Linked DNA regions of Mus musculus: all the other regions are reported to be linked to region 7. Evidence: microRNA targets listed by miRTarBase, many of them from high-throughput screens and not tested one by one. Region 7 holds a microRNA gene; each other region holds the end of a gene's coding sequence.
What was found. Region 7 holds the annotated microRNA mmu-miR-185-5p (UGGAGAGAAAGGCAGUUCCUGA, at 1,976-1,997, opposite strand). A microRNA usually pairs through its seed, bases 2 to 8, with sites in the 3' UTR of a target mRNA and lowers its output. Matches are read on the target gene's strand: a 7mer-m8 pairs with bases 2 to 8, a 7mer-A1 pairs with bases 2 to 7 and ends in A, and an 8mer does both.

Region 1 (4,067 bases), not on the chromosome of region 7:
ATCCCAAGCAATTCTCTATATAACTTCTCTTGTTTGTGTGGGTGGTGTGAAGAAGATCTTGGTACACAGTCCTGGCTAGTCTGAAGCTTGCTATATAGACCAGGCTGACTTGGAAAACACTCTCTTTCTCAAAACCTGGATTTTCCGAGTGCCTGGATGGCAGCCATGTGTCACAACTCCCAGCTGTTATCCATGATATATGAATAAGAGATTTTAAGTTCAGTCAGTCACACAAATACTTACTTTACCTACATGATATCAAATCATCTGGATATTCCAAATATTAGTCTCACCAAAGTACTGATTTTCATACTAATACTTAAATGTTATATATTCTGTCTATAATGTAAACTATATAGAACTGGTAATATTTTAAGCCAGCCAATGTTTAGTCTTAAGACAAAAAGAAAACGAGAAACTAGCCTGGCCATGGACATGTCAACGTTCCGCAAACACTCAGTCTTTAATCTCAACACTTCAGAAACAATTGTTGAGGTTAAAGTTTATTTAGTGTTTTACATATGACCTTATTGTCTTGTGAGACATTTCTGTTCTTTCAAATGTAGATCTGGTACACAATTAGGAGCCAGTTTGTTTATGCCGACATTTTGGCAGATTTCAATATGTAGTTTTCTTAATAGCCAACCTAGTTAGGTCATTTGATTGACAAAGCATGTAATGTGACAAAGAAAAAAATGTATATTTGTTATAAAAAAAAAAAACCTCACAGCAATCTAAGTAAAAAAACAACAACAAACAAACAAACATAGAAATGAAATCTGGAAGAAGCCACCAGTGTTTAAGAAATGGCCACGGTGGCATTTTCATGTAAAGCTTTGTTAAGTAAATCCTACAGGTTTCCTGGGTGAGGGTCACATCCTTTAAAGTAGGCAAATTAGCTTATACAGTCCAACTTTTGGATTGCTTCACAATTTGGGGTATTCCAATGTATTTTTTTAAAATCATTGCTCAATATTTAAAAAATATTGTAGCTTTCTAAACTCAGAATGCAGGGTTAATCGCTAACCCTTTTATCTGCTGGAAAATGGATGAATCCCTGAGTTGTGAAATGCTAGTGATCACAGACATGAGAGACAAGAAGAGACTTTATTTGTTTTCTTACTTTCATCCCAACATCCTTTCTGAAAAACATAAAAGCATGCACACGGATGGCAGTCTTATGAAGGAGAACAACTGCAGCCCCTAAGCTGCAAGCTGATGGTGATACAAGTAAGATCTTACACTATGTGAAAAGAATCATAGACAGTTAATTTTCAGGAAATAGTGATGTCAAGTCAAAATAAACATGTTTAGGAGATTCTTCTCATCTTTCAAAGATTTTGACACAATGTATTTTCTAATACCACATTTGATAGGCTACTTGTGAGGAGAGTGAGTCCAGTGCTAATGATCAAGAGATCTTACGCAGAACACTGTGCCCTGTTCAAAGAGAATCAGCTATAATCCATGTAATTCCAATGGTTCTGTGTCTTAAAATTTAAATGCACAGCATATCCATGATATTTAAAGAGTGAGTGAGAGAGAGAGAGAGAGAGAGAGAGAGAGAGAGAGAGAGAGAGAGAAGGGAGAGACAGACAGACAGATCCATGGAAGCTAGAGGATGTGTCCAATTCCATGAAGCTGGAATTCCAGCCTTCTGTGAGCCTCCATATGAGTGCTGGGAACTGAAGCCCTTGAAAGAGTGGCATGTGTTCCTAACTACTGAGCTATCGCTCTAGACCTCAGCCATATTTAAAGTCTCTGAACTTGTACTTATTTTGATCTGGTCAAAATAAGCTCTAATAGGATTGCTGAAAAAACGTATTTAACAAAGACATGAAATCGATTTTAGCCTCACTTTGTAAGTAAAAACCATTACAATTCAGCACAGTAACATGATACACAAGCTGGATTGTTTTTAGGCTGTTATATTCTATTGGCGTGTGTGTATGAATATACATGTTCATGTGTATCCATACATGAATATAGACACTAACACATAGAAAACAAGTGACAGCACATGACTCTTCAAAGATGTTTGAAATGGCTCGTTTTCTGGCTTTGAAAAAACAAGAAGCAAATTTTCCCTCAATTAAAAAAAATTATTTATTGTGATTCAATTGGTCTATTTCAACTAGATCATTGGTATAGTAATTTTGTGACAAAAATCTGTATGAAATTTGCAGAAATGTTACCTTGAATGACTAGTAGGCAATCACGCTTAAATCACAACATAGAAACACGGCAAATCACACGTTAGAAAGCCTCTTCTCACAGGACACACCGTGCCGTGACTCACGACAGTATGATGTGCTCCTGAAAGGTAGCTCTGTTCACAGGGGACATGTACCAACAGTGTGGCTCCATGGAAATCAAAGAGAAATAACACATTTATCCAATCCTGATGGTTCTTGCCATAAACAAACGCACAATACTTCTGTAGTAGCCAAGAAGGCTCACCCTCAGGAGCCAGGGAGCTGCCCCTCTGAGTCAGGGCAGCACCACCTGCACCCCAACAGTGAACAGCACCACTGGAGGACACAAAACCACAGAGCCAGGGCTGAAATAAGCAGTGAGCACCTACACTCTAGATCGAACGCAGTGCCAAAGCAAATGGAGCCAGGCAGAAGGCACGTGCGAGGACAGAGAGGATGCTGGCAGACTTTCATCGCCTTAGAGCTCTGTTCATGTCTATTCCGATATGAAGATAACGGGTCCCTTGCATTTATAAGTACTTAACGGCTCAGGTGCTGGAGGTACTAACAAAGCAGCTCAGTAGCTGGGCTACTAGAAGCTCTGACAAAGGAGACTGAGTCACAGCAGAGCTTCAAGTCTATTCTGACACTTTACACATTATTCTCTGTAGAATCGGGGGTATGCAAATCAAGCATTTTAATAAATATTAAAAATGTTCATTATTTTGCAAATATAAAGAAAATTAGCTAAATAGAGCAATATAATAAAAATATACACTAGACAGATCTTTTTTGCCATGAATAATTCTCACCTTTTTCTTGGAACATCTTAACGCATCATTACAGTGTCTTTCATTGACTTTCAGAAACTAACAACAACAACAACAAAAAACCAGTATCACATAGCTTCAAAATGTAAAATACTTTAGTATTAAGAGTCTGAGCTGCCAAGTAGTCAAATGGAAGATAACCAATATAGCGAAACATACTGCAAACTAGTGTTAAAATACAACCTTCTGAATTACAGAAAGTATCCAATAATCTTTACAAGTGGAGATTAATTCATGAAAACATTAAAAAAAAAAAAACAGCATAAACTCCACTTAGCTTCCATGTCTCCAGCAACCCCAGCACCTGAAAAGCCACATGTGTTTGCCCCAAATCAAATGCATGTTGGCTGTGGTCACAAACTCTACTTTATCCAGTGTTCAATCATCAAGGCTTAAAACAGAACAAAACAAAACAAAAAAACAACAACAAGAAAACTCCTTATTTAATTCAGGAAACAATGTGATACAACGTGTAGCCATCAATAAGAGACTGTGACTGCAGCCTGCTACTTGCTTATGCTTTAATAACAAACCACAGGCAGCCAAGGAGGGTTCCATACAACCAGGTGCCCATGTACAGTTTCCTTCCGGACTCCGTCATCAGCATGACAGCAGTCAAACTCCCCAAGATCAACACTGAAGGTAAAGTCTTCTTCACACTTAGTCTGGAATGAACACTTTTCCCAGGAAATTTGTTTCTTCTTTCTGGATCTGGTGAATCATAGAACTCTATGAGCAACCTATGGCCAGAAGGAAAACAACAGAATTGATCTTTCAGTTTTGGACATTTTTGGTGTTGAAACAAACATAAACCATTTATTAGGTATTGAGTACTTGCTGAGCAAGTACAGCTCCTTAGAAAACTTGGATGAGTGCAGAGGTGTCCGAGAGGCACGGGAGGGCATTCACGCCTTACAGTATGGACATGATATTATATCCTCACCACGTGGGAAACAAAAATCAAAACACGGCGGGGATCTAAGATATTTAATGAGGACTTCGGGGATTTTTAAGATAAAGATATGTTTATATACTTTTATGT
Region 2 (4,067 bases), not on the chromosome of region 7:
AAGGACGTAAGGTGCCCCTGGTGCCGTGGCATCACCAAATTGCCCCCGGGCTTCTCTGTATCACAACTGCCCGATGACCCAGAGGTCTTGGCAGTCATTGCCATACCACACACTTCCGAGCATACCCCAGTCTTCATCAAACTTCCAAGCAATGGGTGCTACATGCTGCCCCTGCCCATCTCTAAGGAGCGTACACTCCTGCCGGGAGACATGGGCTGCCGCCTGCTGCCAGGGAGCCAGCAGAAGTCTCTCACCGTGGTGACCATCCCTGCAGAACAGCAGCCCCTGCAGGGTGGAGCTCCCCCGGAGGCTGTGGAGGAGGAGCCTGACAGAAGGGGCGTGGTGAAGAGCTCCACATGGTCTGGCGTGTGCACTGTCATCCTGGTGGCCTGTGTTTTGGTCTTCCTCCTGGGCATTGTGCTACACAACATGTCCTGCATCTCTAAGCGCTTCACTGTGATATCCTGTGGTTGAAGTCTTTCACAGGGATGCCTCTTGTGGGTGCCAACTTAGGGGGTGAGCAGGTGTTGGTGATGGGATCCCTGTGATGAGATGGGGGTGACACTGCACATTTGGTGCAAGCGCTGGCCTGCAATTGTCACTTGATTCACCTAAAGACAAGTGCAGAGGGTGAGGTCTCAGCAAGATCCCAGGAGAACAGTTTCAAGATGGTGACAACTATGAAGATGTTTGCATGCTTCCTCATAATTGTGTATCCAATGGGCTGTAATTTATGATTTTCCTAAATCATGGTCTCAAGTTAGACTTTTCTACTTAGACATGAAAATGTACATGTGGGTGCAATAGCTCTCTAAATACGGTAGACGGTAGGTTAAAACAGATGCTGTGTACACAAGTAGAATTAAACCTCAAATCCATGTTTAAAAAACAAAAACAGTGAAGACCCAGAGCTGGCTCCTGTGTGTGCATGTTTGTGTGTGTATGCTCACGTGTGTGTGCGTGCGTGCGTGTGTGTCTGTGTGTGTGTGTGTGTGTGTATGTGTGTGTGACTGAACCCTGGTCTTCATAAACTTTTTATACATTTTGAATGGCACCCAAATCAAAATAATCAAAACAGACCTTTTGGCTGTTTGAAGAAAATATTTGCACACATGTCTTCAGTGTGTTGTGCTTTGCCAAGTTCCTTCATTTCTCTTCATCTGTGATTTAAGCTTGCTCTGTGCTTGTTAAGCTGGAAGCCCAACAGGCAAGTGATGGACAGGGAAATATATAGGCAATGTCTAATTCCCTAAGAAACCTATATGCCAATCTTTCTCAAGCCATCTCACAAGATAAGAATTTAAAGTGTAAATATTGTGAATCTCTGTGTGTATTTTGTGTGTGTAATTCAATTTATCTCAGGTTTTTGAGTTTTTCCTGAAGAATCCTGGGAGTAAGACTTTGTGGGCGTGCATAAGCCAAGTGTCTACAACACCAGCCTCCTGGCCGGTGCCTGGATCTTTCCCCCACATCACCTCCAACATCCACTTGCACTTTGCTGTGTATAGTGATCCCATGTCAGTAAAGGCTCAGACAGAGCATCAGAAGAACTCGTCATTTTCCCTCAGTTTGGAGGGCTTTGTGTCAAAGTCACAAATGTTGCTAATCAATGGCATACCTAGATGGGCATTGTAATAGACAGTCCTTGATGATCTTTTCTTTGAAAGATTTTCCTGTAAGAGTTAACCTGCTTAGAATTCAATTTCATCTTGTTGGAACTTTCAAGAAAATGTTTTGTATTTCAAATGTTTCTACTGCCAAAAGTAGTACGGTGAACAAAAATGCTCACCATGTAAGTGAACCAGTTTCTCATGATTGCTCAACTATTTTTAAATGTGAATTTATGAAGAAAGATCTGTTAGCATAAAAGAAGCAGTCCCTAGTCTGGCTGTGTGTATTCTGAAAGAGTTGCCAGCGCTATAGTCCTCTTTGAACTCTGTTTGTGGAATGAGTGATGTTTGTCAAGGACTCCACTCAGCTGTGTTCCTCCCTGCTGTTCTGTTGAATCCCTGAAATGGTGGAAAGGGTGGGAAAGGCAAAGGAAAGGAAAGAGTGGCACAGGATCTAAGCAAGGTCAGAAGCAGCCCTGGAACATGGAAGCATGATTGGCCTGCTGGCCTTCATCTTCAAGCTGCACAACAGACGTGTGCTAAAGTGATGACTTTGCAGTGAAATAAAACAGAGGAATAACATCTAGAGTACAACGATAACAATTGACATGAAAATTCAACATCAAATTATGAGCTCTGGTTTTTAAAATCTTTCAAATTTATAAGACCTTTAGGAAAAAAATGTATCTGAGGGCTCAAACTAGAAATTAGGTTAAAATACCATTTTATCGTGTAAGCTATTGGGCATTATACAACGAATAATCTAGGATTTATTTGGTATTAATAATTTAGGTATCATTAGCTGAATACTATCCTCTATTATGTAACATAATATACTGTTGGGTTAGCATCAATTTCTCAAACTCTCAGGCTGCTCTAATGCATGTCTGACCCACTTTCTATTTCTCTCGGAGGAGAAAACACACATAGACAAAAATGTTGCGTAAAGGATGTTATGTTTCCAATGGATGTTACTCTTGCAATTTTAAGCCAGGCCATATTTAAATTCATTTGTGAGAGATATCAGCATACCTTCCTGTACAGTAGAAAATGAGTGATCCTATAGTACAGTGTGTGAAAATGTTCTAGTTGTTTAGGAGGCTATTTATAGATACTAACATGTGTGTTGATATGGTGTCCTGTGGTTTTTCTTGCAAAGCTGTATAGTAAAATTGTCCACAGAACTCCTAAAAAGTTCATGTTAGAGCTGTAATTAAGCAAAATCAATCTGCTCCCTGGTAGACTCTTGACCTTACAACCTGACAGTAATAACCCAAGTCAAAGCTTTTTTATGTGTGCTTGGTCTAAGAGACATTATTTAAAACGGTTGAAATGGATTCTGCCTATGGTTTGCATATGTGCTTATTAGGGTGTGTGTGTGTGTGTGTGTGTGTGTGTGTGTGTGTGTGTGTGTGTGGTTGTGTGTTAGAGGAGGGGGCAAGGAGGCCTGCCAACTTCTATATACTTGATGTTTCAGTTTATTCTGGAATTTACCCACAACACTAAAACTTTATCTATCTCATGTGGGGCAAGCAGCCAGGGCTTAGAATCACATGCCAGTGGCAGGGACAGCAGTTGCAGCTGAAAGGAGGCTCTAGTGGCTTCATCTTGCAGATGAGCTCATTGGGGTATGTAGAGAGCAGTAGTGTGCAGGTTGTAATTCTATAGCAAGAAGACAAGACCCGTGTCCTGCTGTGCCGTGTTATTCCTCCCGAGGCACACCACTTTCCCTCTCAGGCTATGATTGTTTACAGAGTCTGGGAAGGCCCTGTGTCAGCTATTGCTTTGAGGGTTGCTTCAGATATTAATTTCTTTTTAGATAGCTTCTTTTTGGGAAAGAAAAGGGGGGGGGTTGATTTAGGAATGAATGAAGGTATTAAAAGAAAACTTTCAAACCATGTGATTCGAATATTTAGAAGTGTAAAACATAAACCAGGATCCTGCCCCCCACATGTCCAGGACGATGAGTGTTGTGTAAATAGTAACCTATAAGAAGCATGAATTTCTTCTTTATTAATGATCTTGATATAAGCAAGAGAATGCTTACCGTGTTAAGTAGAGCCAAGTATGGCACTTCATATGTCGTCTTTAGAAAAATTTTGTATAATGACCTGGGACATAAATTGTAATGATAAAGGCAAATTAGTTCTGAATTTCAGTCACACCTTATTATCAGGAAGGTCTGAGGCTTTTTTTTTTTTTGAAACAGAATTAAATTTCACCCTCTGCATTACTCACAGAGTGGATCCATTGGAGTTTCAGCTGTATGCTAGTTCAGCTCTTGGAATTTTCTAAGTCAGTCCTGTTTGATAGAACTTTTGGGATTGATGGAAATTGTTCTGTATTTGTTCAGTGTTGTTTAGTAGAGTGGCCACTAGCCACATGGCTGTTAAGCAATTAGGTGGGGATGGCTGAAGAAATGACTTTTAAATGTTATTTAATTTTAAGAAATTTAAA
Region 3 (4,060 bases), not on the chromosome of region 7:
ATGGCCTCCTGCCTCCCCATTGACTGTTGGGACCCCCGAATCTCTACTCTCTCTTTGACACCCAATGCCCATCCCCACACCCCTTCCCCATCCCTCACTAAGGGCCTGGGGAAGTTTAGGCTGCTGGCCCATGACCCCCCCCCCAACACATACATTTTCCTAGTTATGTCTATCTCTCCCAAAGGGACATTCTCCGCGTTGGGGTCACTCTAGCTGGCCACCAGAAAAAAATCCTGAACAGTATCCAGGTGATGCGGGCCCAGATGAACCAGATCCAGTCTGTAGAGGTTTGACATTCGCCTGCCTCGGTTCTCCTCTTCCTCCACGCCGCCCCCTGAGCCCCCCTACATCGGTCCCCCTGCTGCTCTGTCCACTACAAGGTCAGCCACCTGCCAGGAGGCCACAGACAACAGGAAGAACCAAGCAGCACTCCAGCCAAGCCGTCACCAAGAGCCCATGCAAGTCAAAGGAAGGAAAAGGGGATTGGGTGGGGGGGACACGCACCTAGATCTGGGAGGGGGCGGGACAGGCAAGAGACGTTCGTTCCAAGAGGATTCTCATAAGGGAAGTGACGGTTCTTAGAGGAGAAAAGCAAAAGGCTTGGGAGATCCACATGGCCTGTCCCCGTGAAGGCCAAAAAGCATTTTCTCTCCAACTCCTTCTGGGAAGGTTGAGCTGGCCAGAGCCAAGAAACACTTCCAGGAACATTAACATGAAGGGAAGAGGTGAGCCACCCTCCTTGCCTGGCCTTAGCCGTTTCTTGGAGCATCACTAATGGCCCAGCCCCCAGGCACAAGGGGCAGAGAGACAGGCAGTCGCCCCAGATAGGCTCCGGGGAAGTCCATTCCAGCTGCCACCGGCAGACAGGAGGATAGTTGTTCTGTCTTGGGAGACGGTTTCCAAAAACTCCGAGAGACTTTCTGCTAATGGTTCAGGAGGCGGAAGAGGAGCTCCTGGCCTCCCAGGTCACGCCAAACAGGCTAGATCTTCCTGAGGACAGCCACCCAGGTCTGCAGCCCCACAAGGCCCTGCTCCTGATCAGCCTCAGCCAGAGGACGAGGAGGCAGGTGACTGTCATCAGCCTCGACTGCCACAGAGAAGCATACTCTTGCATCTGGGTTTGTTTACAGCGATTCCGTGGACCGGGGGTATTTTGATCAGGGGTGGTTTTGGTCTGGGAGGGTTTTGTTTGTTGGGTTTTTTTAAAAAAAAATGACAATGAAGAGACACTTTGACATTTCCTACCTTTTGAGGACTTGATCCTTCTCCAGGAAGAAGGTGCTTTCTGCTTACTGACTTAGGCAATACACCAAGGGCGAGATTTTATATGCACATTTCTGGATTTTTTTATATGCTTTTCATTGATACCCTTCCCTCCTCCCACCTGCTGCCAGGCCTCACCAAAGCCAACTGTCACAGGGCCACCTGGGCCACTCAGAGACCTCAGTGGGACTGGGAGAGTGGAGGGAACTACATCAGCGCCCACACTGGACCACAGACGGAGGCAGATGAGGGCTCCAAGGCCGGAAGTCCTCCCTTCCTCCCTGTCTGCTCTCATGCTCTCCGCCCTGTTCTATCTGGCACTTCCCAGGCACAGAGGCCCCTTCAGGTTCCTGGGTGCTCTTCAATGGCCAAAACTCGATTTCATGTCTGGGAGCCTGGACCAGGCTACCCGGGAAGTCAGGACCCTGATCATTCACTGTGACACCCCAGCCCTCCAAGGGTACCCCGGGAGACCACGTGACTCTCTCTCTCTCTCTGTCTCTCTCTCTCTCTGTCTCTCTCTCTCTCTCTCTCTCTCTGTCTCTCTCTCTCTCTGTCTCTCTCTGTCTCTCTCCCACTCCTTCTTTCCCCGAGGCCTTTGCCTGGGTCTGAAGGTCTTGGCCAGAGGAACACCATCATCAGTCAAGGGGTCTGGCCGCAGGCTCCCCTGTGAGCAAATGCAGGGAATCCGAGCAGAACAATCGGTTAGTGAATTGAATGGAAATAAATGCTTTAGTTATAAAATGACCCCTGTACTCTGTAAGTTCCAAGAAAAAGATCCTGGCACCTTTGGGACCTGCCAAATGACTTTAATGCTCTTGCAAGGGACTCTTCCCCCTGCCCCTCAGGATCCAAAAGGCCCAGGCTGAGGAAACTCATGGAGGCAATCAAACAAACAAACAAAGAAGCTCATGTAGCCTTCTTAGCCTAGGGTCATCAGAAGCACAGGCAGAGAAGCGTAGGCACTGGGTTGGCTCAGCTCTGCGTTGCGTGTACAGTGCCTGGCTAAGTAAGCCACGTTAGAAGTGGTGGCCCGTGGACCCCATTCAGCCACAAATGTAACCCCCTCCCCCACACAATGCTGTCTCCTGTGCTAAGGGCTCGGACTTACTGTGAGTAGTTCTTTTGTGTGGAGGAGGAGAAGGAGGAAGAGAAGGAAGAGGAGGAGAAGGAGGCAGGAAGTGTGTGTGCTGCAGATAAGACTGTTAGAAGAGGAAGGGGTATCCCAGAGACAGCTCATCTCAGGACCATTTCCTTTGTCTGGTGAGCATCTTTGAGGAGCCTATCCATGGGGGAAGATTGAGGCCACAGGCCACCAGCAAAAGACCCTGCAGTGAGCAAAACCATCGTGGCTCAGCCTGTCATCTGTCCTTCACCTATTCTCAACCCGGGAGCAGAGGGAAGGAAGGGATTAGAGAGGAAGCTTGTCCCTGGGGTAGGGACAGCGGGCCTGGACACAGGGCAAGTATTGGCAAGTTTCCCACAAAGCAGCAAACAGCGGCCCGTTGGCCATCCCTTAATGGCCCAAAGACACCCAGCGCGGATGGCAGCTGTCCCAGCACACAAGGTCACCTTCTGGTGGGAGCTTCTCTGATGCTCTGCAGATTAACTGTCTCCCCAGCCCACCTCCCACCACCCCAGAGCCCCACGAGGCCTGGCAGTCAGTGTTTCCGTCAGATGGCTTCCTGCCTTAAGCCACTAGGCTGGCGTCTTCTAGCCAGCTCATCTGCCCATCCACCCTCTAGTGCCCAAAGTATTCGTGTAAAGCCGTAGGACTCTACATGTCTACTTCCAGAATACGGGTGCTATCCAGACCTTCTGTCTCCTCTTCAGGGTACCAAACAGACACCGTCACTGTGGCAGTCCTGAGTGTAGGCCCTGCTCACTTCTCAACTACAAGACATCGTCCTCCCCCCACTCCTCAATGCTCAGCAGGGAGTGGTAGGCCCTGCTGCCAAGCGCCTTCCACTTAGGCTGCCCGCTCACATGGGCACACAGCTTGGAGCTATCTGCTGCCTAGTTACTAATCCCTTCCTGGCTCCACCCCCCATCCATCTCCCCACTCCCAGCCCCCCCAAGCACTAGCTCCCACCTGCCCAGCATCAGGAACCGCTTCCGGCTGTTCAGCCCAAGCTTGTTTCTTGAGGAAAGAAAGCTGTTTTGTGAACCTGGGCCAGGGCACCATGGAAGTGGGGCCAGCTGCTCTGGGAGAGTGTGCCTGGAAGAGCCACTCGGGGCCAAGTTAAGTATGACGGAGCTGTGCCACCCACCCCAGAAGTCTCACAATGGGCTGTTAGTGGCAATCAACAGGCCTGTTCCTGAGCCGGTATTGAAGGTGTCTTGCTGGTAGGTTGGTAGCACGCTTGCCTGGCATGCACAAAGCACTCGGTTCCACCCCCCAGCACTGCATAAACCGGATATGGTAATATATGACTGTAAACTCGGTACTCAAGAAATGGAGGCAGGAGGGTTAGAAGATCAGTGGCATCCTTAGCTACTTAGTGAGTTCAAAGCCAGCCTGGGCCACATAAGACCTTATCTCTAGGAAAGAAGTTATGGTCAATAGTGACATCCTTAGTGCTAGACCCACTGCTTCTGAGCAGACACAAGAGTAGCAGAGAACACTTATACAATCTACTTACCAGCTGGGCCTCAAGTCCACCCTTTCCAGTATCCAGAGCGCCCACCTTCTCTATGGCTGAGAGGTCTATGCTGCCCCCTTGTGGGCACTCACTAACATTGCACCCCCTCATAGATCCCACCCCTTGCTGAAGGACTCCCACCGGAGACCACCACC
Region 4 (4,067 bases), not on the chromosome of region 7:
TGAGCCCTGTGCTCACCAGTGCATAACTACACAGACATACATATTTGATTTGAAAAAGAAAAAACATTGCTTTTAGATATTAATTATGCTACCTGGAGAGAGACAGCAAAATTCTAATTTCACATTTAAAACTAAGCTTTTAACTAAAAATACTAAGTTTCCTTGTGAATTCAATCTTTTTTCTTCTTTAAAGATTGTGGCTATTGTGTGGCTTATACTTTCAAATAAACTTCCACTTACAAAATTATAATTGGGAAAAAAACATTCAATGTCTATGTTTTTTTAGGAAAATTTGAAATTCCCCTTCTGGGTTACTCACTATAAATGGATAATAGTTTGAACTTGGATAAAATTAAAAATCATAATAAATGTAAACCTTAGAGACTTAAAAATATGTTGTTATCATATATTGGTCAAGCTAAAGACATTCTGTTTATTTGAAGATCATTTATTAGTGATGGTAATTTAAGTGGGGCTATCTGAATGCAATGGGACTTTTCTTGTTTTAATGATATATCAATGGGGTTGAATGACTTCTTCTACTCTGTCCTGTGTTATCTAATAGATTTTGGACACTGGGTTAACACACTTATTTTCTCTTTTTTACAGGAATCTTACGTCTGGAAGATGTACCAAGAGAGGTGTTGGGAATTTTTCCCAGCAGGGGACTGTTTCCGGAAACAGTATGAAGACCAGTTAAATTAGCATCATACCTTGATTGTCTCTGAAAACCAAAAGCAATCTCTCTCTCAATCTCTCTCTCTCTCTATCTCAGTCTCTCCTCTCTCTCTCTCTCTCTCTCTCTCTCTCTCTCTCTCTCTCTCTCTCTCTCCCCCTCCCTCCCTCCCTCCCTCCCTCTCCCCCCCCACCTTGGAAACACCTACTCATATTTTCCACTAACCAGCATCTTGTGCTGATGCACGGATGCTCAGTCTCAGAGGACCTGACTGTTCTCCCCCCACCTCATGTATCTTCATTGAGAAACAAAGACCGAAGAACAATCCAAATAAGCATTCAGACTAACCAGGAACTCTGGAAAGGAATTCATCATGGATACTCTACCATAACACCCATGGACAGCTTCCCCTGAAGGGTCATGGAGTCTCCACAAGCTGCCAGACCTGTGCAGCCAAGCACGGCAGTCACACTCACCCAGGCTCTTTATTTTGCCATCCCAGAAGGAAGTGTCTGAGGGTCATAGAGCACTGTAGCACTTAACAGGTTGCCATGCAAAGGGAAATAGTGCCTTACTATAAGTGGGTTGAGCTATGCAGAAGATAATGTGCATGACAAACACCTTTATTTTCTTTACATCAACCTTGTTTTCTTAGATAAAATGGTTTTGTGATTTTGGTTTCTTTCTTTTTTCTCCCCTTTTATTCTTTTCTTTGGTGGAGGAGGGTAAGAAAAGCTATCTGCGCTATTTTCAAAAGAAGGGTGGTGTGTCTCAGGACAGAAGGAGGCTCTTGTCATCCAGCTACGTCACATTTACCCTCCCCACTTTGGTAAAGACTCTGATGCTACATGGCAACTTATGAAATCTTTGTATGAAAAAAGAGACTGCAAAAATACAACTTTCAAAAGAAATAATTCATTGCATGTTTATTATGCAAGTTTAAATGAACAAAGAAAGCCCTCAGAAACAAGTTGATCCACATGGGAGAACTTTCGTGATAATTACATCCGTAGTAACAAAGCTGTGGGCTTCCTCATATTTCTGGAGTCAGTGTCATCCACCGACAGTTGGAACCATCGCCAATGTGACAGTAGTCTTGGGTTTTCCTCTTTCTTTTGGCCACCTGTGATCAGTCATTGGTTAAGGACGCCTTGACAGGCCATCTTTTGATATCCAAGCTGAAGCAATATCCATTCAGAGATTTCATTGGTTGCATCATAAGACATGGGTGACCATGTACATCGATTCATTTTATGTTTTTCTTTTTTCTTTTCTTTTTATCATTTTGAGTCCTTTTAAATGTAATTCTAATCTTTACAATTAAAAAAAGACAGGTTCAGAATGGAAGCGAGGTCATTCTGCGAACATTGGAGATCTTTTATTACAAGTCTGCTTGTTAATTTTAGAATTGTAAAACGGCTCTAATTAAACTATTTAACTAACTTCCTTGTTCTTCTCCTATGTCTTCCTATTTCACATATACCAGGAAATTATAGAATCCCATGCTTTTAATTCAGTTTAATTGTGTATAGGACAAACCCAGACACTTCACAGTCAGACAAACATAGCAGTATTTGTAACAGGAGAGCTGGGTTCACCAGGCACCTTGACCCTTTTCTATCTTATGGGGTAATTCAATGACAACTAACTCTCTTCCCACTTTTAAAATTTTCATACAACTTTCACTTTAAAGAACTCTTCCTTGCTCAGGCAAGTGAACTTTTCCATAATAATTACAACCCACTTAATATCTTAATAGGAAAGAGAAGTAGACCATAAATAAGTAGTTCATAAAACACAGAGATGATGCTAGATCATCAGGGCTATCAGTTATCATCTGTTCAATTATGTCTTATCACATCACCAGAGCTCCAGAACCTGGCTTTTGTGTTTCTCTTTTGGAGTCACTTTTATTTGAGGGAAGAGATAAATCTTGGCACACTGTAGATATTGCTACCAAGCCTTCTCAGAAATGGGACCTTATGTCATAAAGAGTCTGAGCCAGTAGATCTGGTCAGCTCTCTAACACATCAAAGAACATGAATCCCTGTACCATTCTTATTTGAGACAAATTTGGAAGTTAGATTCAGATCTTCTATTTATAATGCCCACATTGTGGTAGACACAAAACAATAGTAAAGGTAAGAAAAAAAGGAAATAAAGTCATAGATTTGTCAAGATCTGTGCACTTTACTGACTGACAGCTCCTCAGAGGTGATAGAAATATCAGGAAAAGAGACATTGGAATTGGTGAAATGAGGGTTCTGTTAGCCAATGGGTGTTGCAAACACATCAGTGTTGGAAGAAAAGTAAAAACACAGGTGGGCTATTTGTGCAAGTCATACCTGTCCAATCACTATTGACCAACACAGCAGGACATCACTGGGAGACCATCCAACAGAAGATGGTAAAATCACTATAGGGGTGCAATGCCTGTAATTTCAACACCATGGTGGAAGCCCAGGGCTGGCCTTACGCTACACAAGTGAGTTCAAGGTCAGCCTGTGATGGGGGAGACTGTCTAAAAGAGACAAAAGGAATTCAACCTTATCAGCATTATTTATTTGCCTAGGAAATATTCAGGGAATCTCAAACACAGTGTGACTCTACCTCTCTGATTCTCTAGGCTGCCTGAGGCGAACTCAGGAGATGTGATCCTGTGAGGTATTTTTCTCATCCCTATGATTGAGTACTGGACACGAAACAAATAATGGAAGAAAGGATTTATTCTGGTGTGGCTTGAGGGGTCCAGTCTATCAGGATAAGAAGGCATGGTGGCAATAGATCCATAGTGGTAGACGCTGTTATCTGGTTTGTTTATAGTTCAGCTGGTTGGGAAGCAGGAAAATCAACTCTGACTGCTATGGCTTTACATCTGCCAGCTGGATCCATGTTCAAAGGGTCCCACAGACTCTCAAAACTACAGGACCAGCTGTGGACCAAGGTTTCAAGCCTTTGGAGGACCATTTAAATTCAAAGCATGATAGTCATCCTCTCAGAAATATTTTATCTCACCCATTCAGACATTATCAGGAACACTATCATGGTCACCCTGGGTACTTACAAAGCTTCAACACATACAGAAATCATTAATTCTCATCTATTTTTTTCTTTCTGAAAATAATTTTCTCTATGATTCACAGAATGGATTCAGATGGATGGTTTTAGCAAAAGCTTTCCAAATGTGATAGCCCTCCTTAGATGCACACCTGGCAGTTTTTCCAAGGACAAGATACAGCTTGTTTTCATTCACAACCAGTTCCTAAACAGAGCCATCGCATCAAAGGCCCAAATGTAGCTCTGTAATTAGCCTGTTATCCTCTATCAACCAGGCCAGTGTGAACCACCACAGGCCCCTTCTGACCTTATAGACTTCCATGGGGAAGCAGAG
Region 5 (4,067 bases), not on the chromosome of region 7:
TTGCTGGCTCCTGTGCTCTCATCCTTTGCCCACCCCCCCTCCACCCCCCTGCATGATAACTCCCTCCGAAACCTGCCAGCTGCGATCTCTCTACATTTTCATTTCCCCATCCAACCTGAAATATTTACCTGAAGGCTTATCCATGTCTGGCCTTCTGGAGCAGAGTGTTTATGCATTAGAGTCTGCTGCATCTTAAGGTCCGTAAGGAAGGTGATAAATGTCCTAACTCTTCACAGTCCTTAGCATGATAGCAAACCCCCAGATAGACACTCACAAAGCACCGACTGGCTGATTGGTTGCCTTGCTGTTTGCGTGAATTGCTGATAGCCTGGGACTTCTGTCTTCTTTGCTTTAGGTATGTGGACAGCCAGCGTCATACCATCCAGGGAGACTATATAGACACCATGGAAGAGATTGCAGATTTAGTGGGTGTCAGGCCCAATATCCTGCCTCTGGTCTTCACTGACCCCAGGCTGGCATTACGGTTACTACTGGGGCCCTGTACTCCAGTCCAGTATCGCCTACAGGGCCCTGGAAAGTGGGCTGGAGCCCGGAAAACTATTCTCACCACGGAAGATCGTGTTCGGAAGCCTCTGATGACAAGAGTGGTGGAAAGAGACAGCTCTGGGGGGTCACTGGTGACAGTGCGTGTCCTCATGCTGGCTGTTGCTTTCTTTGCTGTCATCCTGGCTTATTTTTAGATGTGGCAGCGCAGTACTTGAGCTGCCACCGGAAAACGCCATCTAGCCACACCTTCAGAACCTGATGAGACTGAACACAGCTTCATACTGCACAGGAATCAATCACAATCTCTCTCTCTCTCTCTCTCTCTCTCTCTCTCTCTCTCTCTCTCTCTCTCCCTCTCCCTCTCCCTCCCTCACTTTCTCTCTCTCTCTTCTCCCTTCCTCCCCCTCTCTCTCCTCCCTCAATCATTAATCCTTCTTGGTTTTATTTCTGTGATATTGGGTTTTCACTAATTGATTCATCTCCCTCCCTCGTGAGCCTTTTGTCTCTCCCTCTAGTCATTCCCAGACCGTGAGCTCAGGCCCCCTTCATCATCTTTGTATGTCATTAGCAGGGTTCTTTTAATGCTTGACTCTGTTGTGTTTCTAGCACTGCACAGCTAGACCTCGCTGGATGATAACCCATCTTGAAAAGACTGCTTCCATTATCAAGCGCATATTGGCAGCACTTGACCTTATAAGCAGAGCCCACATATCTATTTCAGGAATTCCCACAGAGGGCAGTCCAGAAAGAAGAGCCACTTAGTGCTGAAGACTGGGAGTCCAAAATCCAGGGTGCAGACAGTGAGGCATTCCTGTCTTCATGATTAATACAGTGAGGGTATCACATGGGCAAAACAGAAAATAGCTAAGTTCCGGCATGTGGCACATGCTGAATAAATGCTCGTTGATATGTATGAAATAAGGTGTTATCTCTAAGTCAATCTAATAAATGGCTAACTCTATAGAACTCTTAATGTGATCCATTATCAATTTTAATAACATTAATTTTATAAATTATTTTTATAAATTAACTAGTTATTAATTTTAGTAACTGAATATACCTGTCTTTCAGATGGGTGGTGGGCATTTAAACTCAGGTCCACTTGCCTTCACAGCAAGTGCTCTTATTCACCAAGCCATCTTCCTACCTCCTGCTTTTATATTCTTAAAAAAGAAACTACTGACTGAACATAGTGGCACATACCTGTAATTCCAGAACTTGGGAGTTCCTGGCAAAGGATCACCACAAGTTCAAGGCCAGCCTAGTTCCCAGAGTGAGTTCCAAGCCAGCCAGGTTTGCATAGCAAGAACTTGGCTCAAGCAACAACAAAATATACAAAATCAGAAAAGGATTTGCTCTTCTAAGTTTGAAAGTCTTTTAAATAATTTGCCGTCTTCCAATAGGTTGATTAAAGAACCTGAGGCTTTTAGTTAGCTATCCTGGCTTAATCTTGAAGGGCTAGTGTTAGGATCCAGCTGAGGCAGTAAGCAAGTGCTAGCACTGGAGGTGGGGTCAGCAAGTGTGATTATTCCCTCCCCCTGCCCCGCCCAGCATTGAGGTGGGGTCAGCAAGTGTGAGTCTCCCCCTGCCCAGCTCCCTCCTTCCTTCAGAGTCTACATAATAAGAATCAGTAAGCTCTTCCACGTCTTAAGTTAGAACTAGTATTAGTATTAACTAGGGGCATTCTGCCTAGACCAGTTCTTCCTGTGTGTAGTTCAGAAAGGCAGGAGTGGAACTGAAATGCAAGATTTAAGAAGCATTGGCTGTCAGAAGCACTTGAACTCCCTAAGGATAATTTGACCCGCTGCAGGAATGGCATGAGAATAACACAAATACATGTAAGCAGATACGTGAGAATTCAAACTCCTAATTATACACGGATTTGAACAGCTGCCTAATATTTTACCCAGTGTACTCTCTGTGAACTTGAGCACTGAGCCCTGGTTGGGTTTCTAGGGCCCTTTTCCTTCCGAAATCCTTTAGCAACTGAATGTTTGTCATTATTAAAATGGGTCTGGGATTTTTTTTTAATCTGAAGATTGCTTTCGTTCAAAAATAAACGGAAGCTCTGCATCTTAACTTTTCTTCTTTTACAATGTAAAGGTCCTCTCATTGAGCTTGTAAAGATATTGAAGCACTACACTGCCAAGAATGTAATCTCTACTTATGGGCACTAATACCACAGGCTTCTTTCAAAGCCTGTACTTTTAAGTAGCTTCAACTCTCTCGTTCTGCTTAGAATATGCAAAACTACAAAAGCATCATTGATTTCTAAACCAAGCTGAAGGTAAGGCTAGGATAGGACCTTGAACTTAAAACAACTGAAGATACAAAGAGTAGTTACTGATCGATACTGATCGATGATCGTGTGCTGATTCACCAATTCATGCACTTTGCTCTTCTGGCCATATTAAAAGATTACGTCACTTACCCAACTATGATAAATCTGATGATCCAAAAGATGTATTCTTGCAATGCAAAGAATAAAGAAATGGCCCAAATGGACTGACTAGCTCATGTCAAAGGGGTATAGAAATCATTTCAAAGTGGCCCCAGTGGCCAAATTTGAAATAAATGTCGAGCAATAAATAACCTAGTATTGGATTATAACCTGAAACACAAAGATACCTGAGTCCATGCCATTATAGGTAAATGATTGGAAACATTATCAGAATGGAATAAGTAAAGCCCCCACACAGAATTCTAAATATTTTAGTTCTTGCCCCTCAAGGAAATGAAGCAAAGCTCTCTCAGATGTACTGCATAGATTAACTTCCTTTAGAAATCTAGTGTGGGAAGGGGTGAGGGATAACTGCAGAGGAGAAGTCAGACAGACTACCTCAGTCAGATGCCCACATCAATACAAGCATTGGCAATCACTGGTAGTTGTATGCATGAGATGACCTCTGTGGTGTTTTTCCTTCAGATGATAGCCCAGGCTAGGCAGGAGAAAAGTACCATGCAGGCAGCCTCAGGATGATCTACGAATACCTTACTCCCCTGGAACTGTTGAAGTCATCAAAAGCCAGTCTGAGAGAGAGAGAGCTTCCTAGCATACAGGAGCCTTGAGGAAGTATCCATGGTGAGAATTCAAGAAGAGAAAAAGAGATACTAAGTAAAAATTGAAGAACTAGTAACAATTGTGTACTCTGGGTAAAGAATGATGTGTCAATATTGGTGTTAAACTAATAAATGCACCACCATGACATGTTCTCAGGAGGAAAACAAGCACGCAGAACCTCTCTGTCGTCTTTGCAACTTAAGTCTAAAACCGGTGCACAAGATTTTTGTTTGTTTGAGTTGTTTTAAGTTCAGAGTTTGACCTGAATTACAGTGTACTAAAAACTTCTCAGACGAATGTTGGATAGTCGAAGATGGCTCGCTCTTGCAGAGGACCTGGGTTTGGTTCCCAGAATCCATATAGTGCGTCACAACTGTCTGTAACTCCACTTCTAGGGTATCTGTCTCCCTCTTCTGGCCATCGTGAGCACTGCATGTGTGTGGTGCACATGCATGCATGCAACAGCACTCTTTAACAGATAAAATAAATATTTTTTTAA
Region 6 (4,066 bases), not on the chromosome of region 7:
CCCAAACAAAACTAACAAACTAAAAGAAAAAATTCATTTGTGTGATTAATATACATTAGTAGAAAAAGTCCTGCCAGGCAGGACTGTCTGAGGGCCTGGGGTGGGGATTCCAGGAATAAAGCCTTCCGGGCTCCTCACCTTTCCCACTCCCCTTCCCAAAGTAAAGAGGAGGGGAGGTCTGCAGTGTGGGCCATAGATAGAAGTTGCCTGGCAGGCTTTAAGGCTCTGGCTCCCACCTGCAAAAAGAAACTTTGTTTAAAAAGTCAGTTTAGGAATGTCAGGGTAGGCAGCGCTGGGGACTGTGGTCATCTGCTGCCTCCTGCTGGCCACAGCATGAATTTCTGTCTTGGAGCACGAATACCCAAGTCCTGCTCACTGGTGAAGAAGGCCTTGAGACCTTCCACAGCTTTGTGTTTTTAGTGCCCAGTTCTCCATCCTTGTGCAGGCCCCTGACTAGCCAATGTGAACACAGAGACGGGGGTACGGGTTAGAATGTGAGGCCACAGAAGGTCTAAAGTTACCAGAGAGCGAGTGAACGCCACCTGGTTTTGCTGGGTATGCACAGAGAGCCTGCAGGATGGCTCTAAGAGCCAGGAGGGGCAGGCGGTTGTCATCCCAGGCAGGCTAAGTGGTCACCCCCTCCCCCCCAATGCTGGCCATGTTCCCTGCAGGACGCACATGCAAAACATCAAAGACATCACCAGCAACATCCACTTCGAAGCCTACCGAGTGAAACGCCTCAACGAGGGCAACAGCGCCATGGCCAACGGGATCGAGAAGGAGCCGGAAGCCCAGGAGATGTAGATGCGTCCCGCCCCTGGACCCCACCCCCAGATCTTTTCATCATCCCTGGCCCACCCACCTACCCTGTCTTATTTTATATAATTATCTCCTTGTCACCTGCCTCCATCCATCTCTTCCCACACTTTGCCAGGTAACAAGAGAGGGTTTACCTCCCAAGTGTGCTCTTATTGGCTGCAGCAGCAGGGTGGGCGGGGCTAAGCCTGGGCTTGCCTCTGTGCTCTATTTCCACCCGGGCTCAGCCCCTGAGGGGTTAGAAGAGCTATGTGTCCGTCCCCCGCTCTGAGTTCTAAGCTGAAGCCTGTGGGGGCCAAGTCCTAGGGGGTGCAGAGGAGCCCGTTAGACCACAAGACCCCATGGCCGCAGCCTCAAGCAGGTTAGAGACTGCCCCAAAGGAGGATGGAGCTGGCCGGGTATTCCTGAAACCTCACCTGCCCCTCCGGGGGCGTTTCTTACAGCGCCCTCAGCTGCCTGCCCCTCAAGGGAACTAGAGGCGTCACAGCCAAAGTTGCCAATCACTTAGACAAAGTGACAACCGTGCCCCTCGAGCTTGTCCCAGAGCAGAAAGTGCCTTGATCTACAAGAGCCAGTCACCTCTTCCCAGATGTCCCTTTGGGTGAAAAGCAGGGACGTGCTGGAGAGAGGGAGGTATCTTTTCTCCCTCGCCCTTGGGTTCTCTCTCCCCTGTGCTGTAGATATCGCTACTACACTGGGCTTTAATTATAAAAGACGAAGCGTGAAAGATGCTCCCCGATGTTAGGAAGCCCCGCCCCCAATGTAAGGAAGGTCAAAGCAAGAAGATGAGTCGAAGCCATGAGGGAGGAAGCCGTGGAAGGGAGGCATAAGAGTGTGTGGGAGCTCTCCTGCCCAGGTGCCGCGGAAGGCATATCCGCGTGGTCCTCAGTTTGGGCCAAGATATTCTGGTTACATTGATGCTCCGCTGCCTCACCCTGTCCCACCCCACACACCCCAGGCTCAAGCCTTGATGATTCAGTGACTGTACTGGGTGGGAGCCAGAAACCTGACCATTTTGTTGTCTACATGAGCCTAGACTAGCCCTGTGCCCCAGAACCCATCAAAAATACCCCTAAAGAGGGAAAGATGAGGGGGTCAGAGATGGATAGCCAGGCTCACTCATCTTCTCTCAGAGGGAACATTAGGGACCATCCATGCACAGCTGACCAAAGCCGTGTCCTTCCTGCCTGCCTCCCATTCTCATTTGCCCCTGAGGAGAAAGTTTGGTGAGGTGCGTTAGGTTGGACCCGCTTGGGGAAGGTGCCTCTACAGACCCAGGGCTAGCTTTCTGCAGCCCAGAAGTGCAGTGGGAGGGGTGGGGTGCAGACAGATGGAGACGAACATTGTTTCCTGCTTTGGGCGTCTACTCCCTCATCCAAGCATGGAAGGGCCCCTCGTCATGCCCTGTGGCCGAACAGTTCGCTTGCCAGCTTGCCAAGTTCTTTTGCCAAAATCAGGACTTTGAAGGAAATCTCCAGCACGCTGGACCCAGGGCACTCCGGCCTTCACCAGCCCAAGTGACCCTGGGGATTTAGCAGCAACCCGGTCATCAGGATGACTTTGTGCCTCTGTAACCAGGTATTGAAACTGTTCGTCTCACCAGGCCGGTCCACGTGGCCCTCTGCTGGGGGCTTCCTGGTGGGGGGGCAGAAAAGTCTCTCTCTCTCTCTCTCTCTCTTTTTTTTTTTTTGTATAAATAACAAAGTGTTGAAATGTATTTCCTGAAATAAATGTTTCAAATACAAACTTTTTTTCTGGAGTTCTCTTTGGCAAGACCTGTCTGGTCCATTAAAGGTGGTGAGGGGAGCACGGGAGTAGAGGCTCCCAGTGGAAGGAAGCTATAGGACTGTGTGAGATCCAGAATTAGGAATCAGCAGCCCAGTGGTGAAAAGTTAGCCACACCCACTGCCTGTAATCCAGCTTGTGGGACATCTGACGCCCTCTTCTGGCCTCTGGTGGTACCTGCACACATGTGGCAGACACATATACACATAAATACAAATCTAAATTTTATTATGTGAGACCCTGGTAACTGGCCATTTATAATAATGTTATTCCAAGAGAACTAAACCATGTGTGGTCCCAGGAGGCTGGCTGAGCCAACCAGTTTTGTGTACAGGAATCAGGAAAGGGGAGGGTCCCTCTCTGTGTGCTTTAATGTCCCCAAGCTCCTGTGGCAAGTGACTGCAATCCAGACACCCTGGAACAATACTAGTGTACACTCTCACCATTCGGAAGCCCGGGACCGAGTGTTGGCATGGCTCCATCCCCAGTCCCCTGCCACCCCTGCTCCTGGGGACTGCGTTATTTCAGGTCCATGCACTTTGCTCTTGAGGGACACTCGTTTCAGCCCAGGATAATCTCATCTTGATTTTAATTACATCTGTAAAGATCCTGTGTTCAAATAAAGTTTTATTCTAAGCTTCTGTGCAGGTGGGAATCTGGGGCGATCACCTCCCCACATTCCCTTCCTGCGTCTCAGGGGTTCCAGAGCTACAGGGACAGCATGAGAGAACAACCCGAGGCTCGTTTGCATCCACCAAGCCGAGTGAGTGGTCTAAGGAGTGACCCTACCTCTCTGGCCTGCCCACACTCTTCCGAAGGCCACCTGAAGACAAACGGGCTTCATCAGCCAATGAGTTGTGCTCAGCGGCCTCATGGAACCAAGCATCAAGTTGTTGATTTTGGCTGTTGATGGCACTGGTAGAGGGGGTCTGGTCCATGGAGGCAGCTTGCTTGAGTCCCCCAGTTCTAAGTTCCTTGACAAGTACACCTCGAATTCCTCCTTCCTCAAGACTGAACTGTTCTCTGTGCATCGCCAGTCCCCTCCAGCCCCAGGTGCTTAGGCAGTCGTCAGCTCATTAACCTGACTGGCCACCAGCCCAGCTCACCCGCACCTCCAAGCCAGTGATGGGGGAAACCTCACCTCCCACTCAAGCAGACACTGTAGGACCAGAGTGGCCAGCCGTTCTCATCTGCCCAGGAACGTGGGCTTTCTTGTGCCTCCTAGCTAGCAATGAGGGAATTCTCACCTTTCTACTCTCCACAGTACCGGGGTTACAGGCATACTAAGAGGAAAAAAGTTCAGGTGCTGGGACCCACATTCAGGAACTCAAGCTTATGCAATGTGGGCTCCAGCCCTGAATGTAAATGTGGGCTTTCCATGGAACTATCAGAGCTAGAACCAAAGGGAGGAGGGAGGGGAAGCTGGACAAAGGACAAGGTGGCTTCATGGTGTGGGACCCCATGC
Region 7 (4,067 bases):
TGTTCACTCTCAGGTTTGGAGAGGGTTTGTGCAGTGGCCTTGGTCCTAGTTGGTGCACACATAAAGATGGGCCTGTGGGTCAGGCCCTTGATAGCCCTCCTTTGCAGCACAATACACCTAGAACCCAGCCTATTCTCTACTCCAGGGCCCTAGGTGAGGGCCTTCAAAGTCTCCCTGAGGCACATCAGCAGAAAGCATGGGGTTGGAGACCTAAAGACAGCTGTCACTCACTTCTTCAGGAATCCTAACAGCCACTACAGCCTTGGAAGAAGCCCCAGCTCCAGGGATACCAAGGGTATCACTGTGACAGACACTGGCAATTCTAATTCTTGGGTCTATGAAATTAAGCTTCTTCAGACTGCCACCAAAGCAGTGCCTGCACTACCGTGGTAAGGAGGCTCAGGACAGTCTGTCACGGCTACATCTTGCCTTAGAGCCCTGGGGAAGCTAGCAGCCTCAGCAATCTGTGACAGTGCCACAACATCTGTCCCAGAGTAGCTGGCAAATTGGGGCTTAGAGTTCAGCAATCTCCAGAAAGGCATAAAGTCAAAGCCACATAAAAGACCTACCCTAGAACTAGGCTGAGACAAATGCTCTCGGGGTAAGGGAGGACTATACCCACAGCTATCTTCAGGAGCTCGGAAACATTGTGTATAAATAAAAGAGGAAAGCAGGGTATGGTGGGCAGGGCTTGAGCTCAACCCCAGGAATGCACACATAAACGGAAAGAGGTCAGTTGTCATCTAACCTCCCCAAGTATGCTGTGGCATGTATGCCCACTTCTAAATACAACAATAATCATTCATAAGATTTTAAAAGTAAAAAGGAAGAGGTGAGGTGATGGCTTAGCAACTGAGAAAACTGGCTGCTCTTCCAGGAAAACCAAGTTCCAATTCCCAGCACCCACACAGTAGCTCACAACCATCTGTAACTCCAGTCTCAGAGGGTCCATTCTAGCCTCCATGGGTCTAGGCACATATATGGTGTACACACATACATTCAGGCAACACGTTCACAATATAAAAATAAAATAAAATAAAATAAAATAAAATGGGGCTGTTCTAAGAGAAATTGTGGCATACCTAGCATTCTATAAAACAGGAAACAAAGCCACACTGTGGGGTGAAGAACCCTAAAATTCAGTGACCTTGGCAATTAATTAAGATTGACATGCATATCACAGACTAGCCATTCTAGAAAAAGAAAAGCAGTCAGGAAAACAGCTATGGGATAGAAAAAGCAAGAGAGAAAACCAGGGGTCAAAGCACAAAAAGGAATCTTTACAAAGTTCTTTGAAAAATGACAGCCGCCGGTCATTTTTCAAATGTGGTGGCACTCGCCTTTAATCCCAGCACTTGGGAGGCAGAGGCAGTTTCTGAGTTCGAGGCCAGCCTGGTTTACAGAGTGAGTTCCAGGACAGCCAGGGCTACACAGAGAAACCCTGTCTTGAAAAAAAACAACAACAAAAAATGACCGCCATAGGGCCCACGAAGGCCAACAGCATTATGGGGTGTGTGTGTGTGTGTGACAGAACAATGATAAATTCAAGACCGGACTGGACACAGCTAATGAGACAGGCAGTGCAAAGAACTGTCTTTATGGGAGGTATTGGACCTACATGCCCCTCCTATCAGCTGCTGGTGTCAGGAAGAGGCTTTGGCTCTTAGACTCCTTTGGTCCTCCCTAGGCTGTACTGGGTAGGACCTCTGGCAGAGGCAGCTATCAGCAGACATAGCCAGATCAAGGGTGTTTCTCTAGTTCAGCTGCAGGACCTGCCATCCTAGCTGGCCCTAGCAGACCAGCCCTCTAGGTTGGAGATGTGAGGAGGGCTCCAAGGTCCACAGGAAGGCCATCGATGTGTCTCCAGGCAGCCTGGAGTTGGAGGTGCTGCCAGAGCTCAGGGTTGCAGCATCGATGAAGACGCAGTCATTGGGAGAGAAGGACCAGAGGAAAGCCAGCCCCTGGGAGGGGACCATCAGGAACTGCCTTTCTCTCCAATCCCTCACCCCCCACTCAAGCCAGGCCCGCTGCCCCACAGTCCCTCTGCCGTCTCTGGCCAGCAAATTACTCCTCATACCTTTTTCCTGATATACCTCTCCCGTAACAGATCCTGCCTTTACCTAAGCCCAGATGTTTTCCCAGGAAGCGGCTGGCAAGCCCCTGTGAATGCCAGGCATCTCCAACCGGCACCCGAGGGTCTGATGCTCTTTTCGGGACTTGGTGAGGTCCCTTCTGCTATGCCACTTCTTTAGCCCCTTTCTTGCTCCTGTTCACCTGTGGGCTGAGAGCAAACCCTAGCCATTCCCTAGCCTTCTGATCGCACACTGCAGAGAAAGTAGGTACGTGATAGTCAAAACTACCTCACAGGGTTCACACCCCTGAACTCACTAGATACTTCCCATGCTCTCTGGACCAGCAGGGCCCATGGGACCACAACAGAGCGCTCGTACCACAGGGGGTCCTTAAAGGCCATAAGGCTGTGTCCGAGGGCCATGTCCTGGGGAGAGATGTGCCTGGATTTCTTCATGATAATTCTACCTCGCTATTCCTGGGCTTATTATTAGCTAGTGGGTTTTCAGTAGAATTTCTGTTCTTGGCAGTCCAAAAAAAGCCCGAGTGACCAGGGTCATAAAAACTGTAGAATTGCTTGAGGTCAGATTAGTCAGTTACAATGGTGAGAGATTAAAAAAATAAAACTCCCTGGAAGAGCTGGAGAAATAAGTCAGCAATTAAGAGCACTGGCTGAGTCGGGCGTGGCGCACGCCTTTAATCGTAGCACTTGGGAGGCAGAGGCAGGCGGATTTCTGAGTTTGAGGCCAGCCTGGTCTACAGAGTGAGTTCCAGGACAGCCAGGCCCACACAGAGAAACCCTGTCTCAAAAAACAAAACAAAACAAAACAAAAAACAAACAATAACAAAAAAAGGGCACTGGCTGCTCTTCAGAGGGCCTGGGTTCATTTCCCTGCATGCACAAGGTGGCTCACAACCATCTGTATCTCCAATTTCAGGGAGTCCAATGCCTTTTCCGGGCTCCCTGGTCCACTGCACACATGTGGTACATGGACATACACTCAGGAAAAACACCCATATACATAACAATAAAATGGAAAACAAAACCAAAAACCCTCTGGGCATTTGTAGAAAGGGAGGAGGGTGACAGCCTGCTAAGCACAGGGCCTCAGTCCTGGGGGTTCCTCGGAAAGCAGTGAGCAAAGGCTGAGACCATGATAGTAGATTCCAGCCTGGGGACTGGGACCCATGCCAAAAGGTTCTTGAGGTTACAAGTGCAGAAAGAGCCCAGAGCACCCACATCTCACACCCACCTGTCACTGGACAGAGGGCTCACACTATGTCCTTGGCCTCTATAAAAAAAGTCAAGCACCCCATTTCCACCAATACAAGTACACCTCTCTGCTCAGTGGGCTCACTGGCAGCCAAGGTGTGTACAGTGCAGGCTCAGTGCAGGAGACCTGGGCTACCTACAGCCTACATACTCTAATAGTCTCTTTGGAATGTCCTGCTTGTGGAAAGAGTCCTCACTAACACAAAGCCTTGGGCAATGCCAGATAGGCTCTGTTACTATGACTTGTGATGGTGGCCTTGGGACATGTAGTTATCAGCTGGATATTACAAAAAGTCAGCCACATGGTACAGAAATCTGCCAATTCCATATAATCAAGTTCTAGTAAAATAAAACCATGGATACCCAGCTTAGCAAGTTTTCCAGCTGGCAAATTCCATCTGTGTTGTTCACATACCGCTGCTGAGAATTGAGCAGGGGCACGCAGCTCCATTGAGAAATGGCAAATAGGAACCTGTGCCTAGTCTTGCTTAGATTCTGTGCTTTGTCCTTTTTCTACTGTTGATTTTAATCGATACCCATCCCTTGTAATAAACTGTACTAAGACTACAACTCTGATCTGATAGGGATCAGTTGAATGAAGATGGTTTTGAGGTTTCTTCAACAAAACTGTGGCCCTACAAGAAGTCACCACACAGTGACTCAGAGAGGGGAGCACCCTGGTGTAAGGCCATGCAGTGGCCCCTGCTTCCTGATGACACCCTAG

Region 1: miRTarBase lists Agpat5 as a target of mmu-miR-185-5p. Seed matches in the 3' UTR shown: 7mer-m8 at 1,586-1,592.
Region 2: the mRNA of Rnf152 is a reported target of mmu-miR-185-5p. The part of its 3' UTR that is shown has no 7-base or 8-base seed match.
Region 3: miRTarBase lists Ephb2 as a target of mmu-miR-185-5p. Seed matches in the 3' UTR shown: 8mer at 647-654 and 7mer-m8 at 1,832-1,838.
Region 4: miRTarBase lists Ryr2 as a target of mmu-miR-185-5p. Seed matches in the 3' UTR shown: 7mer-m8 at 776-782 and 7mer-m8 at 827-833.
Region 5: miRTarBase lists Fmo5 as a target of mmu-miR-185-5p. Seed matches in the 3' UTR shown: 7mer-m8 at 854-860, 7mer-m8 at 915-921 and 7mer-m8 at 1,010-1,016.
Region 6: miRTarBase lists Septin9 as a target of mmu-miR-185-5p. Seed matches in the 3' UTR shown: 7mer-m8 at 1,478-1,484.

Annotation. Positions count from the first base shown.
Region 1 is chr8:18,881,436-18,885,502 of GRCm38, reverse strand. It overlaps Agpat5 (1-acylglycerol-3-phosphate O-acyltransferase 5 (lysophosphatidic acid acyltransferase, epsilon)), which reads right to left. Exons shown (of 8, transcript NM_026792.3): 8 at 1,090-3,765. The coding sequence ends at 3,540. Gm35934 (a long non-coding RNA gene) reads left to right here. Exons shown (of 2, transcript XR_870172.3): 2 at 1-2,372. Among named protein-coding and RNA genes, the nearest start is that of Gm35934, 19 kb to the left of the region's middle.
Region 2 is chr1:105,280,626-105,284,692 of GRCm38, reverse strand. Rnf152 (ring finger protein 152) reads left to right here. Exons shown (of 3, transcript NM_178779.4): 3 at 1-4,067. The coding sequence ends at 474. Among named protein-coding and RNA genes, the nearest start is that of Gm17634, 73 kb to the left of the region's middle.
Region 3 is chr4:136,651,555-136,655,614 of GRCm38, reverse strand. It overlaps Ephb2 (Eph receptor B2), which reads left to right. Exons shown (of 16, transcript NM_010142.4): 16 at 185-4,060. The coding sequence ends at 293. Among named protein-coding and RNA genes, the nearest start is that of Lactbl1, 31 kb to the right of the region's middle.
Region 4 is chr13:11,551,154-11,555,220 of GRCm38, reverse strand. It overlaps Ryr2 (ryanodine receptor 2, cardiac), which reads left to right. Exons shown (of 105, transcript NM_023868.2): 105 at 610-2,118. The coding sequence ends at 705. Among named protein-coding and RNA genes, the nearest start is that of Ryr2, 550 kb to the left of the region's middle.
Region 5 is chr3:97,651,127-97,655,193 of GRCm38, forward strand. Fmo5 (flavin containing monooxygenase 5) reads left to right here. Exons shown (of 9, transcript NM_001161763.1): 9 at 356-4,067. The coding sequence ends at 701. Among named protein-coding and RNA genes, the nearest start is that of Prkab2, 5.1 kb to the right of the region's middle.
Region 6 is chr11:117,359,752-117,363,817 of GRCm38, forward strand. It overlaps Septin9 (septin 9), which reads left to right. Exons shown (of 11, transcript NM_001113487.1): 11 at 672-2,574. The coding sequence ends at 804. Among named protein-coding and RNA genes, the nearest start is that of Gm51932, 26 kb to the left of the region's middle.
Region 7 is chr16:18,325,463-18,329,529 of GRCm38, forward strand. Mir185 (microRNA 185) reads right to left here and starts at 2,003; the gene lies at 1,939-2,003. All of the region lies in intron 1 of Tango2 (transport and golgi organization 2), which reads right to left.